Elephas maximus indicus: one gene and its partner. The protein of the gene in region 1 interacts with the protein of each later gene in a biochemical or structural test. Links are inferred from orthologs where the notes say so. Each region holds a gene or a part of one and is shown on either strand. Other genes may lie near its edges.

Region 1 (8,120 bases):
GCTAGGTAAGCCTTCTAACAGACATACAGCTTCTCTGTAGAATAAAACCATTTAAAAATGAAATTATTCTTCCTTCCCTTTAAAATATCATTACTATACTGATTAATAAATATAATCATTACATAAAATATTTTTTAAATATGATTTATAAAAGAATATGGCTAAATAATAAGCATTGAAGTTTTAAAAAACTGATTCACATCTTGTAAAAACTTTAAAAAAGTGAAAATCCTCATCACCACGTTTTTTAAAACACTATTTTAAAACAGCAGAATGTGCAACGAAATGAAATCTTAACATAAAATATAACATAGAAACAAAATACTTTAGAAGCTCCAAGTTTTGAGTTTCTTTACTAATATTTAAATGCTCACATATTTATAACGATTTAAGGTTTAAAAAACTGACAAGAACTTCTTCATTATTATCATTTATCGAAACCTCACAGAAGCTAAAATTTCAGTCTCATTTAATCCTTACAATAGAGTGGTCCTATCTCCTTTTTACAGGTGAGGAAACTGAGGTTCAGGAAGGTTAACTCTCCAAGGTCACAAAGCAAACATACGACCTGAGCCAGGATTTGAATCAAGGTCTGTGCAATTCCAAAGCCCTCAATCATTGTTAGACAGGTGGTCTAATTGCAAAATTATTTTGATATCAAAAGTTTAAATTCCTTAACAGACTGGAAGGGCTGACTCATTAGGGGCAGAGTAAGTGGGAGTATGGAGTAAGGTGTATATAAGCTTATATGTGACAGACTGACTTGATTTGTAAACGTTCACTTAAAGCTCAGTAAAAATTATTAAAAAAAAACTAAAGATTTCCTTTAAAAAAAAGTTTAAATTCCTTAAACCAATTCAGGACAATTAAAATTATTAATTTAAAAAGTTAATGGATTTCTATGCCCATCATTCAAGTTACAGACCAAACAGGAGAAATGCTCTGGACAGTCTGTCTTATTCTAAATTAATTACTTCAAAGGTAGCTAGCTGCCCTCTGCCACTGTGCCTTATTTAAGAAAACAAACCTTTATGACTTTAATGATTAAACCCCCCAAAGTCTCTAGGGACTCACAAAGTAATTTCACATCTCCCCAGATGCCTTCAGCAAGCAGTACATAAAGGAACCTAGGTTTCCCCTTTATATTTGTAAAATGCATTAAGGACCCTCTTCTCTGAAAATGCGTTTCCAGCATGGGGGCGAGGGTGGATACCGAAGGTTGGAACCCCACTATTATACTCCTCTGGGCCATATTTTGGCCCAGAGGAGTAAGTGATGACAAGGGTAGCTAGTATAATAAGATTTGCGAAGTATTGGTGAAGCAAAGAAATTTTTCCTGCCTCCTTTAGTCAGTCATTCCTAGCACCCAATGGCAAAGTCAGAAACACTGCCTAACACTCCGTTTAAACTCCACCCTCCACTGTGAAGCTTTAATAGCAATGGCTTCTTCCTCCCCAGTAATGATCTTTGTTCAGCACATTACTGACGCCTGCCCTCCTAATTCAGAAGCAGAGAAAGCGCATCGGCGTGAGAGAACATTCACTAAACAAAAAAGCATTTACTGTACTATTTTCTCATTGAAAAGTGTATCCTTCATCCTTGATGATTTAAAAAAAAAAAAGCTATTTGGATTCTTTCCGGACTAATAAGCAATTCTTTGTATCCATTTCCCCCACTCTCCAAAATGTTTTGTCCAAGGGCACTACATGTTTCTCTACCTTATAATAAATATTTAATATGACCCAAAAAGCATGCAACCTCCCCTCCCCTTACCCACCACCTTTTGGAAAAGGTATGGAGCCAACTAGGGCTCTTTCCTTCCTGTTCTAAAAACACCAAAAGATTGGATCCTCCCAGCGTTGCAGCAGGAAGCAACCAGACCATAGTGATAAAGCTCGCTAGTATTTGTGCAGCGCACAACCTTTCCTGCTCAGGAACTGGGCCTTCAGGTCTGGCAAGGATAACAGCCACCACCCATCCGCAGCCCCTTCTCACGAGTTATCCCAGGCTGGATGCCGCTGGGAAGGGCCGGCAGGAGGGGGAAGTCCTATCCGTGTGCCGGGTCATTGCGACAAGCGCGCGCCTGGGTGACACAATTCCCCTGGCCCCCCGCCCGCCCCCCGGGGTCGCACCAGAGACGTGGAAGGGAGGGATGGTGGAGGAGAAGCTGCCAGTCCGCGGGGCGGCCCGGGAGGTTACTGACCGCGAGAATAGCAGGGGCAGCGGTGGGGTGCGGGTGGAGGCCACTGACCCGCTCAGATTTTACCAGGGCTTGGCCGGGGGAGGGGGGGGCGAGGGAAGCCGGCTAGGAGGGGCGTCCGGCCGGCTCCGGGCTAAAGAGAAGCAGAGGAGACCTGGAGTGGGAGTCCCCGGGCCGAAGGACAGCCGAAAAGGGAAGCCAAGGGCCTGCCGGAGGGGCTCCCGGAGGGGCTGTGCGCGGAGACCGCTGTACCCTGAGGGGGAGGAGGCGCAAAGGCAGAAAAGGGAGATGGCACGAGGGGCCCTTCGAAGGGGCCTGGGCGCCCCGGGGAAGGAAGGAGGAAAACCCTCCGGGAGAAGGGAGAAGGCAGTCGCCGGGAGGACGCCCAGGGAGGGGTTCCGGGGCTAGCGGGGGCCTACGGGAGGTCGCTAAGATGGGTGTGTGGTGGGGACCCCTTGTGTGAGGGGAGCGAGGCTGGGCTGGGAGACGGCAGGACGAACGGCACAGAGAGGAAGGGCTGAGGCAGGCCCATGTCGGCACAGGGGTGGCCCGCGCGCGGGTCCCCCGGGAGTGTCCCGGGCCCCCGAGGGGGGACTCGGTAGAGAGTGAGAAAGCCCACAGTCTCACCTTTGAAGAGGTAGTCGTACTCGTCGTCGCGGGTGCCCATTGCGCGGCCGAGGAGCGAAGGGGCGGGAGCAGCAGCGGTATCGGTCGGTAGGACCAGGGGGCGTCGCTGCAGGGGTAACCCGAGCGCCGAGCTTCAGATGCCGGACCCGGTAAAGAGCCCCGCCCTGCCGCTGCGCCACTTCCGGCAGGCCCCAGCCCCTCAGGGGAAGTACTTCCGGGGAGGCGGTGCCCCGCCTCCAAGCCCAGAAACGTGGTACGCGGCCAGGGTCGCGACAGCCTTCCGTTTCTTAGTCCTTCAAGGAAGCTCAAATAGGAAAACGAGTCCTGGATGCCCAGCTGATCACGCCGTTAATGGCCTCTCGTTCATTCCATACGCACCTCGCACTGCCTTGCCGGAACCGGCGCTGGGAGCGCATCAGACCCGCCTCCGAATAGTGGGTTTGTGGATGGGGGCGGGGTTTTCTAAGGTTTAGACAGCTGAAGGCGGCTGCATAAGTGTGGCGGTTCCATGGTGTAATGGTTAGCACTCTGGACTCTGAATCCAGCGATCCGAGTTCAAATCTCGGTGGAACCTGCAACGGCTAATTTTTTTCTGATCACAATTATAGTTCGTTTATTCACTAAGTCGTTGTTGTACAACTGCGCTAGGTCTGGCGTTGAACTAAATAGAATGAGAATTTCGCAAAACACAATCTTTGCCTCTGGAGACCTCACAGATTATCCCTTTCAGTTCCATACTATCTGCCACCTCTACATGAGGATCTTGTGAGGAAGGAGCTTCTTCACTTAGCCTCTTTAGCCTCAAACCCTAATTCAAAAGCTTCTTCAGTGAAATTCCTTTTGCTGGAATTTTCTATCTCCAGCTCCATTAAAGAACAGGCAGGCTCTTCTATTCGCTCCTCTCTGGAAATCTCTCAAACTATCTCCAGATGTCACTCAGAGGACTTGGCCCACCCTCCTCATCAAGATTCATCCAGAACTTTGTGAGCCTTTACTATTTGTCAGCCTCTAACTTAAAGTAAGCCCGTTTTCACAATCATTTAACAGGAAGAGCAAAGGACAGCAATTTCCATTTTAGTGGCTTACTTTCCATTTTAGTGAATAGTAAGACTGAAGTGATTTGCCAAGGATCACAGCAGGCCTCCTTATATTTGAGAGTTTTGTAATTCCACAGAGCTCTTTCCCATTTATTGTAACATGCCGTACATACTGCCTATATACAAACTCTCAATTTAGACTTTTGGGGAAGGGTACTTGTAGGCAGAAACAATGGCCCTCCAAAAAAGTCCATGCCCTAAATCCGTGGAAACTGAATATGTTAGGTTACATGGCAAAGAAGAATTAAAGTTGCTAATCAGCTGACCTAAAATAGATGGATTATTCTGGATTAACCATGTGCACCCAGCGTAGTCATAAGAGTCCTTAAAAGTGGAAGAGAGAGGCAGAAGAGGTGAAAGCGATGTAATGTAAGAAGGATGGACCAGCCTTTGCTGGCTTTGAAGGTGAAGGAAGGAAGGGGGCCATGAGCCTAGGGATGAAGAGGCCTCTAGAAGCAAGGAAACGGATTCTCCCCTAAAGCCCCAAATGGAACACAGTGTGTTGACACCTTGATTTTAGCCCAGTGAGACCCATGTCAAACTTCTGACCTACGGAACCATAGATAATAAATTTGTATTGTTTTATGCTACCTAGTTGTGATCATTTCTTATGGCAGCAATATGAAACTAATGCAGTGCCATTGTCAGTGCTTTCTCTGCCAGTATAAAGTGATAGAAGGTTTATCTAAGGTCCTAGGTACTGCCTTGTGCACGGAGTGAACACTATCCACATTAGGGGAGAGGCAGGATGTTACACAAACAATCAAGTATTTACGGGATACCTATTACATGCTACTACAGATTATTCTTAAGTCACAGTCCCAGCCCTACTCAGGGATCAGACAAGATGGGCCCAAGAAAGAGGGAATATCAATAACTAAACAGTTCAGTAGGAATAACTAGTGAGAGTTCTTGTGATAAGTGCCAAAGTTCAGAGAGACTGATATAATTAGGGAGAACGCCCTGGAGGAGGTGGAACTTGCTCCATCCTCTAAAGGAAAACTCTAGGAAGGAAACTCATTTCGGGAAGCAGGAGAAATTAGATGGTAAGAATATGTTGAGCAAGGTGTTGATGCCAGAAGACTTTTGAACTTTTCCCCATAAGTCATTTTTTACAATGCGTGTTTTGAGGTCAATAGTCTTCCTAAAAAGAAGGATTGGCAGATAAGTAGAGCATTACTGAAGAGGAAGAACAAAGTGGGAGGCCTCACACTATCTGATTTTAGAACCTATTACACCACCACAGTAGTCAAAACAGCCTGGTACTGGTACAACAACAGATACATAGACCAATGGAATGGAATTGAGAATCCAAACATAAATTCATCCACCTATGAGCAGCTGGTTTTTAACAAAGGCCCAAAGTCTGTTAAATGGGGGGAAAAAGTCTGTAACAAATGGTGCTGGCATAACTGGATATTCATCTGCAAAAAAATGAAACAAGACCCGTACTTCACACCATGCACAAAAATTAACTCAAAATGGATCAAAGACCTAAATATAAAATCTAAAACGATAAAGATCGTGAAGAAAAAATAGGAACAATGCTAGGAGCCCTAATACATAGCATAAACAGAATACAAAATATAACTAACAATGCATAAATACCAGAAGAGAAACCAGATAACCGGGAGCTCCTAAAAAAGAAGCACTTTTACTCATCAAAAGACTTTGCCAAAAGAGTAAAAAGACAACATACAGACTGGGAAAAAATTTTTTGGCTACGACATACCCACTCAAGGTCTAATCTCTAAAATCTACAAGATACTGCAAAGCCTCAACACCAAAAAACCCATTGCTGTTGAGTTGATTCCGACTCATAGCGACGGGATATGACAGAGTAGAACTGCCCCGTAGGGATTCCAGGCAGCACCTGGTGGATTCCAACTGCCAACCCTTTGGTTAGCAGTCAAGGTCTTGACCACTACACCACCAGGGTTTCCTCGACAACAGAAAAAAAAACCCAATTAAAAAATGGGCAAAGGATATGAACAGACACTTCACCAAAGAAGACATTCAGGCAACTTGTATGAGGGTAGAGAGGCTGGGCTGGGAGACGACAGGAGGAAATGGTCATGATCAGAAATGCAAATCAAAGCTACAGTGAGATACCATCTCACCCCAAAATGGCTAGCACTAATCCAAAAAACACAAAATAATAAATGTTGGAGAGGTTGTGAAGAGACTGGAACACTTACACACTGCTTGTGGGAATGTAAAATGGTACAATCACTTTGGAAATCAATTTGGCTTGTCCTTAAAAAGCTAGAAATAGAAGTACCATATGATCCAGAAATCCCACTCCTTGGAATATATCCTCGAGAAATAAGAGCTGTCACATGAATAGATACATGTACACCCATGTTCATTGCAGCAGTGTTCATAATAGCAAAAAGATGGAAACAACCTAGGTGGCCATCAACAGACAAATGGATAAGCAAATTGTGGTATATACACACAATGGAATACTATGCGACACAATGGAATACTATGCAATGATAAAGATCAATGATGAATCCGCAGGTTGATCACTGATCTTTATCATTGCATAGTGTTCCACTGTGTTCATAATATTCATTCTCACAACATGGATGAATCTGGAAGGCATTATGCTGAGTGAAATTAGTCACAAAAGAACAAATATTGTACGAGACCACTACTAAGAACTCAAGAAAGGGTTTAAACACAGAAGAAAACTTTTTTTGATGGTTACGAGGGAGAGGAGGGAGGGAGGGAAAGGGAAATTCACTAACTAGATAGTAGACAATTATCTTAGGTGAAGGGAAGAACAACACACAATAGAGGGGAAGTCAGCACAACTGGACTAAACCAAAAGCTAAGAAGTTTCCGGAACACAACCAAACACTTTGAGGGACAGAGTAGCAGGGGCTGTAGTCTGGGGACCATGGTTTCAGGGGACATCTAGGTCAATTGGCATAACAAAGTTTATTAAGAAAATGTTCTGCATCCCACTTTGGTGAGTGGCATCTAGGGGTCTTAAAAGCCTAGTGAGCAGCCACCTAAGATGCATCAATTGGTCCCAACCCACTTGGGACAAAGGAAAATGAAGAACATCAAAGACACAAGGAAAATATCAGCCCAAGAGACAAAAGGGCAACATAAACCAGAGACTCCACCAGCCCGAGACCAGAAGAACTAGATGGTGCCTGGCTACCACCAATGACTACCCTGACGGGAAACACAACAGAGAGTCCCTGATGGAGCAGGCGAAAAGTGTGATGCAGAACTCAAATTCACATAGAAAGACCAGACTTAATGATCTGACTGAGATTGAAGGAACCCTCGAAACCATGGCCCCCAGACACTCTGTTAACCCAGAACTAAAACCATTCACTCTTCAGACAAAGATTAGACTGGACTATAAAGCATAAAATAATACTCATGAAGAGTGTGCTTCTTAGTTCAAGCAGATACATGAGACCAACAGGGCAGCACCTGTCCGAAGGCAGGATGAGAAGGAAGAAAGGGACAGCAGCTGGTTGGACGGACACGGGAAACCCGGGGTGGAAAGGAGGAGTGTGCTGTCACATTATAGGGATTGCAACTAGTGCCACATAACAATATGTGTATAAATTTTTGTATGAGAAATTAACTTGAGCTATAAACTTTCATCTAAAGCACACACACACACACACACACACACACACAAAGAAAGAAACCAGAGACAGGACCCCGATTCCTGCCCCAGGGATTACAACCCAGGCTCAGACCAGGCTTTTTTCCAAAAATGTTTTTAATTCCAACATCCGTCTTAATGGCATACTACTGCATACTAATTTATCCAGTAGTTGTTGTTATACTGAAAATGAAAGCTAATGATTTCAGCTACAAACAACTAAGCCAATACTATAAAAATATATTGTAAGACACTGAGAAAAAGAAGGGTTGCATGGTCAAACGCATTGAGAAAAGCTACACATTGTCTCTCTCCTTAGGAACTCCCTTAGTGCAGTGACAATTTAAAGTCTCTAGAAATTCTGCTCTGATGAAATCTTTTTTTTTTTTTTACCTGTATTGAACACAGCATTTACCAGATTCACGAGATCACAGAACTCTCTTCCCATGTGACACCTGTTAGCGTGCCTCTGAACACTTTGGTAGATGCTCTGACATGGAGTCATCATTAAAGATTTGTGAACAGAGGGGTAACTGAGTAATACTGGATTTGTGTCTTA
Region 2 (7,232 bases), on another chromosome or scaffold:
CGAATGAAAGAGAACGGTCAGGGTACATAGCATGTTGTGAGGAAGCATTACTTTTCATGACACTTGTACTTGCAATGCATACATGAGCTTGGCTGTGCAGTGATGTCAATTGTATTTCCACACAGCCTGAGCTGAACCACCCTGACCAGCGCCAGGCCCTGTCCGTGGTCCTGCCCTGCGTCTTTAACCAGCCTTGCGGACTGAGACACACAAAGCACTCGCATCTCCAAACCTGCAGGCAGCATAGCGTCTGAGTGGCAGAGGCACGATTGGAAATTCTCTCTATTGGCAGATAGAGTGAGATGAAATGAGCAAGATGGAATTTAACAGGGATAAGGGTTAAGTAACAGGCTCAGATGAAGAATTTTTGATGCAGGACAACAGGCCTGATTATCTTCAAAAACAGGGCTATTAAAAGGAAAAAAAGAAAAAAAAGAACTGTGCTACAAAAGAGAGACCTAAGGGTCACGATAACCACATATACCCACTGCACAGTCCCGGAGAGAAAACTGGTTTGAGTACAACAACAAAAATGGACATTTGGGAGTCCAGTGCAGAAACCTGAATAAGGGTCTGTGTATTTAAACGAGATGAAAATTTACTGGAGCAGAAAAGCGGGACTAGTACACGGGCAAATAAATTAGGTTACAAGACAGTATGCACAGTATGATCTCATTTTATGAAGAAAACCTCTGTATACGCATAGAAACGGCTCTGGAAGGCTGTGGCTAGGGTGTCACAGCACTGCTCCCTGGGAGATGGAATAGCAATACTTTTATTTTTGCTTGTCTATAGTTTCCCATATAAACCGCTTCTCTAATAATATATGAGCATGCTTTAAAAAAAAAAAAAAGACATCACTGACCTGCCCCAGGGTGGGGGGGTCTCTGGCTTGGCGGTGGTTCCGGAGAAGGAGCCCTGGGAGTCTGGGTGCCCACAAGCTTAACAGGAGTGGAGTGTGTGATGCACCACACATCTGCCAAAAGGCAGCTGTACCCTGAGCCCACGTTTACGTGTGAGGTGTTGGAGCTGGAACAGTCCTTGGTGGTGGGGGTGGGGTCTCCTGGTCTGGCCCCTTCATTATATCACTAGGAAAACTGAGTCACAAAATTAGCCCACAGCAGCTCCAGGGCCAGAAGCCAGCAGTTTGGCCCCTGCAGGTGATATGGAAATGGCTGGGGGCTTCAGGAGCTAGGGGAACTTGGCCTGGAATAGGGAAGATGGGAGTCCCTGGGTGATGCAAATGGTTAGGCGCTACTAGCTGAAAGGTTGGCAGTTCAAACCCACCCAGACGTGCCTCAGAAGAAAGGCCTGGCAATCTGCTTCTGAAAGGTCACAGCCTTGAAAACCCTAAGGAGTGCAGTTCTACTCTGCACATGTGGGGTCGCCATGAGTAGGAATCGACTTAATGGTAACTTTTTTTTTTTTAAGGGTAGATGGAGTGAGTGGGTGTGAAGGAGTGAAGGGGGCATGAGCGCTGTTTTCAAACATTTAAAGGCTGCCACGTAGAAGAGAGAACCATGTGAGTCAACGTGCAGAACTGGGATGACCAAGTGACAAGCAGGTTTGGGCTGTAGAGTCTGTGAGGGAGAAGAGTCTAACAACAGGAGCTGTCCAGGTTCGGGATCAGGTGACCAGGCTTGCTGGGGGCATGCCCCATGCTTGGGGGTTGCTCCTTGCCTCAGCTGGGAGTCACTACGGAAGAGTGGGAAGAAGCTTGGCTGGCCTTGGGGGAAGGACAGGGATCATGGTGGCTGCAGGAAATGCCCGTGAGCAAAGCCCTGCAGAGGGGGAAAGTGGCTGTGGCCCTTAAAAGGGCTTGGCAGGCTCTAACGGGAACTGCCTCATGAGCTCCCTGGGCTGGTGTACCTGAGTTCTCACACCTGACACCTGCCTCATTCCCTTCCACCTTCTGCTCTCAGGCACCCCCAGGTCCATGCCCAGGTGCTGGTGGAGAGACTGTCCATCACCTCCCACTTGATACGTGACAGGGAGGTACGGGCCCTATGTGGCCATTCCCAGCTTCTCTCATGTTCTAGAACACCAGGCTCGAGCTGTCCTAGGAACACAGTACCAAATAGAGCCCATTTGAGGCCAGTGGCCCCAGTCTCCCCATGCAAGACCCAAAGCCTTAGGTGGCTTTGAAAACATTGGTCTGTTGTGGCATTTATTGATGTTCTTTGCCCACCCCTCACTGGCCATGACTGCAGTCCTGCTAACAGTCAGCACTGTGCTTGCTTTCCCCAAACAGACCCAGCCCCACCCGTGGGGGCTGCTCTGCTCAGCTCCCACCCGGCAAGCTTGGCTCTGGCCAGCCTGCTGCAGCCAACAGGGTCAGCTGCCAGCCAGCCCTGCCTATCAGAGCCTGAATGGAGGGTCACCAGGCACTACCAAGAATCCAGGGTGGCCCCATCACAGACCCCTCCTTCTGTGTTCCAGGCAGGGTGGGTGCAGGCAGCAAAGGCACCAAAGCAGCTGGGTGCCCCTAGGGGCCCCCTCTACCCCTCGGCTAGGCCCAGTGGGGAGAGTACCTATTTACCAGTCACGGAATTCCAGACCTCTGCGTCCTGGCCTCCGCAGGGTAGAAATGGGGAGGGGGGTCCTGAGTCCAGATTCTGACAGCTCCTCCCCACCCCACATTGAGTGGGTTTGTAGATCAGGCGGAGGGACCAGCTCTGCCAGGGAGGGAGGTGGACAGGGAGGCCACCCTGGGCATGACATTCGACACCCGCAGCACAGGCTGGGGTCCGGCAGGGCAGGGGATACCCCGGGGTCCGAGGTCCTCAGCTCAGGTTGGCACAGGCAGTCTGACAGGGCAGGGGGAGGAGGGATTTCTCCCAGGAAGAAGGCCACCACCACCTTGGGTTTGTGGACGGAGAGGCTTGTCCGGGGCAGGTGAAAAGGCTGAGAAGCTGGGGGGGGCGGGGGAGAGGAAGGGTGGTCGTGGTGTCAAGGGTCGGCTTGGGAGGAGGCCAACCCGAAGGGCCTGGTGGGGGGAACGAAGGCTCGCGGGGAACCCGGGTGCCCCCTCCCGCCGCTGTGGCCCCTTACCTCCTCGCCCTGGCCGAAGCGCAGTCCCAGCGCCGCGACGCGCTCTACCCGCAGAAAGCCGTCGGGGTCACGGCCGCACACCTCGAATACCTCGCGCAGGCGGCGCACGGAGCGCAGCAGAGCCGCGGGGGCGCCCGCCCAGCCCGCGCCGCCCGCCATCCGGGCCGGCCGCACAGCTAGCCCGAGCCCCGCGCCGCGCGCCGCCGCCGCCGCCCGCCCTGCGCCGCCGCCGCCATCGCCGCGCGCCTCCGGGGCCGCCGCCGCCGCCCGCCCTCGCGGCTCTGCGGTGCGCAGCCTCCGCCCGGCGACGGCGGTGGCGGCGGCCGATCCGTGTCAGCAGCGGCGCCGCAGCCCCCGCCGCTCGGGCGGGCGGGCGGGGACGGGAGCGCGCGGGGGGCGGAGGAGATGCGGCAGACAAAAGGAGCCGCGCGCTTCCTCCCCGCGTGGGGCCGCCCGCGCGCACCGCCGCCGCCGCGGACTCGGTTTCCCTCGGCGTAAGCCCGCTCTCTGCCCCTGCAAAGCCGGGAGGGGGGCGCGCGCCCCGACCGCCTCCGAGCGCGGGACGTGGCGGAAATTCAGAGCTGCGCAGCGGCCGCGCCCACCCACCCTCTTGCCCGGCTTTGAGACTTTAGTTACGAGGTCCGAGCCCCCGGAGCACCCGCCGTGGCGTCCAACAGCCTCTTCTCAGCCCTCAGGGCCTGCACCTCACGGTCAGCCCGTCCTCACTTAGCCCTCCCTTTGTGGGTACCTCGTATTCGCCAAGCGCTCACCCACTATGTTCCCGATCCTCCGCAGTTATCTCGTTAGGTCCTCCCTAGTCTTTTTTGTGTGTTCGATCATTACCCTCTTTTCAAGGATGAGAAAGTGAGACCCAGAGAGGTCCGACTACCTACACCAGGCCACGAAGCTGTGACAGGCAGGGTCAGGATTCATACCCCTGCCTACTCTGAACCTTCTCGGTGCAGCCTTGGAGAGAGCAGACACCCCTGGTTTTAGGACCACACAGGCGTTCCAGACAGCGCTTTGCCCAGCATCTTCCAGGGCCAGAGGGGGTCTGGGGAAGGGCACAGAGAGAAAGAGCAGGGAACAGGCCTTAGCCTGGAACTGGACCCTGGGACAGGGGAGGTAAAGAGAAGACCAGGGACAGGTGGGGCTCCTCAGAGGAGGGAAAGGCAAGGCCATTCCGCTAGGCCACAGGGCTGCAGGAGGCCAGGTGGCAGGCAGAGCAGCCTGCACATCTTACAGCCTGGACTTCCCCCCTTCAACCAGCAGTGCTCAGCTGGGCTTTTGCCCCAGCTCCTCCTGGCGGGATTCCTACCTGGGCTCACAGGGCCCTGTAGCACCCAGCCTGGCTCTCCTTCCTCCACCTCATCACTCCACACATCAGACCCTTATGGCACCAGTTGCCCTGGACCTGAATACAGGCCTTGGCTGAACTGACCCTCATTTATGCTCTCTGGCTCCATGCAGAGGTTTCCTCCTCCAGGAAGCCTTTCTGGATGGCATTCCACCTTGCCTCCCAGTTTGAGTTCTGGGCCCTTTTTCCAGATGCCCCCTTAGCTCTATAATTCCCTGGTGGCATGCCCATCTCCACCACCACTCCAGGGCAGAATATGTCTTAATCACTTTCATGCCCCTGGTCTCCAGCCCCGGGGAGGCCCTTGAATTAAGTGGTTAAGGGCCTGCTGTCCTCAACATCATGCCCCCTCCCCCACCACCTGCAGGAGCAGAGAGTAGAAAGCAGTGTGAGGACTCAGACAGGGAGCTCAGGGGTGGCTGGGGCCTAGTTCTGCCACAGGGGCTGCTGGCCTCAACTCTCTGGGCCTCAGTTTCCACCTCTGAGGTCTTCCTGCCCAACCCCAAAATGCCCCCCGTACAGGGGCCACCTTGGAACTTCCCTGACAGTGGATCTGCCCCCTTTTCCTGCCCCAGCTCCAGGGGCAAACCTGGTCTTTAGCTATCCCTTCCCCTTGAGATACTAATTCTTCCAGGAGCCATGTAAGGCAGCACCTCCTGGGAAGAGACTTGTGGGTTTGAGGATCAGAGAGTCTAAAAAATGTGAGAAAGCAGGAAAGGGGAGGCCATGCAGGAGGGGGGTGAAGGGGAGGTGCTGGGAAGAGTGCGGGCTTCTCTGCTAGCTGGATGCCCCTCAGCAGGATACACTATTTTTGAGTCTAGGTTTTCTCATCTGTACAATGGGGATAATAACAGTACTTCCCTTATGGGTGGATGACTGAAGATTAGAACTAATGTATGCAAGAGTCTGGATGTTACATCCCCTTCCACCTGCCCAGTGGGGAAGGGTAAGTAGGGAGAGGATCAAGTGGGGTGGGAGGGGGAAGTGGCTGGCCCATGGGGATCCAACAAGTCCTCAGGCAGGGAGGTGGGGAGTGAAGCTGGGGTTGCTGCCTGCCCTTGGGGTCCTGATCTCCACAGTCAGCTCAGGCCCATTTTCTCTCACCGCAGCTCTTCCCTCTGCCTGGGGATCCTCACTCCTTCCCTGTCCCCCACTCCACTTCATCTGGCCAACTCCTGTCCTTCCAGATTCGGTAGGAGTGGCATCTCCTACAGGAAGCCTCCCCTGACCACAACACCCACCCTCACCTCCTTGCTTGCCTCTCCCCTGTGCTCCTGAGCATTCTGTACAGACAGGTGAAAAGTACAGACTGTGGAGCCAGACTGCCTGAGTTCAAATTCTGTCTGTGCTACTTCTCACTGTGTGACCTTGGGGAAGTTACTTAATCCCCTTGCATCTCAATTTCCCCCACTGTAAGGTGGGGATAATAATAGCCCCTATGACATAAGGCTTTTGTGAGGGTCAAATAAGTTAATAAATGCCAGAACAGTGCTGGTAGGTAAGTGCTGGCTGTTGTTATGATTATCTTTATCACCTCTTATTCCTGTTATTTGGTCACAGGAGTAGCTGGAAAACACGTAGGAAAGGTGTAGTCACACCTGTTTTCACTTTGTCATGGTTGCCTCCAGGACAGGAACAACCATGAGGTGCTTATTTCTCCAGCTCCTAGCACAGTGTCTGATACACAGCAGACACACAGTTCAGGTCCGTGCAGCAATAAATTAAGGAATGGACAAATATGGTACAGTGGGCTGAAAAATGTCCCTCCCCCCCGCAAAAGATATGTGCATCACATGGGGTCGCCATGAATTGACTCAGTGGCACCTGACAACCACCACCACCCCTGGAACCTGTAAGTGTTACCTTATTGGGATAAAGGGTCTTTGCAGGTGTGATTAAGGGTCTCAAGATGGGAGATTATCCTGAGTCATCCCAGAGGGCCCTAAATGTAACCACAAATATCCTTATAAAAGCGAGGCAGAAGGAGATCTGATGGCAGACAGAAGAGGAGAAGGACATGTGACCACCGAGACAGAGATTGGAGTGATGTGGCCACAAGCTACAGAATACCTGGAGCCACCACAGAGCTGAAAGAGACTTTCAGGAATGAGCGCAGCGTGCTGACACCTTGACTTTGGACTTCTGGCCTTCAGAACTGTGAGAGAATAAACTTCTTTCAAGCCACACGGTTTGTGATCATTCCTTACAGCAGCCACAGAAAACGAATGTATGCGATATAAATATCACGTGGACATCATTAAAGATTAATAAGAGGCAGGCTTTGGAACTCAAAACAGCTGGGCTGGGCACCAAGGTCTTTTAGCTCTGTCACTCTGGAGAAGTTAGCTTCTCTGAGCCTCAGTCTTCCCAGCTGTAAAGTGGGGGCAGTAGTCCTACCCTACAGAGTTCCTGAAAGTTGTTTTTTTTTTTTTTTCAGTAAGAAATGAATATAAATCGCCTTGGCCAGGGCCTGGCACAGTACCTGGCACCTGGTGGTTATCATGTGTGTCAGTCAGTATGAATCTGTTTAGAACCAGTTTCAAAGAGGAAACATTTCTACGGTTTAACCTATGGACCACGACTTCATCATGCATGTTGTCTGGAAGTGGGACAGGATTCACAGTTTCTCCTGTTCACGGCCTACTGGTTTTTTAACTCTGAATAATTATCGCTTTGGAACGGAGGAAGGTCGTGTGAACTTATTTTCCTTCTTCACCTGTCCTAAAATATGTCTCTGTCAGCAGACACAGCTGCCGACTGTTTGGAGACGGAGCTGCCAAGACCTAGCCCACGGCTGTGCCGAGACCACAGTTGGACTGAGGCG

What was found.
Region 2: the proteins of RAB11A (region 1) and RAB11FIP4 form a complex in vitro, tested with the Homo sapiens proteins (2 studies listed by BioGRID, with this or other methods). The link is inferred for Elephas maximus indicus from reciprocal best matches to the Homo sapiens genes RAB11A and RAB11FIP4.

What each region holds. Positions count from the first base shown.
Region 1 is NC_064831.1:55,954,338-55,962,457, reverse strand, and holds the start of RAB11A (ras-related protein Rab-11A), read right to left. Parts: upstream 3,014-8,120; 5' UTR 2,868-3,013; coding exon 2,828-2,867; intron 1-2,827. UniProt on the Homo sapiens protein: The small GTPases Rab are key regulators of intracellular membrane trafficking, from the formation of transport vesicles to their fusion with membranes.
Region 2 is NC_064837.1:26,117,686-26,124,917, reverse strand, and holds the start of RAB11FIP4 (rab11 family-interacting protein 4), read right to left. Parts: upstream 3,211-7,232; coding exon 3,052-3,210; intron 1-3,051. UniProt on the Homo sapiens protein: Acts as a regulator of endocytic traffic by participating in membrane delivery. Required for the abscission step in cytokinesis, possibly by acting as an 'address tag' delivering recycling endosome membranes to the cleavage furrow during late cytokinesis.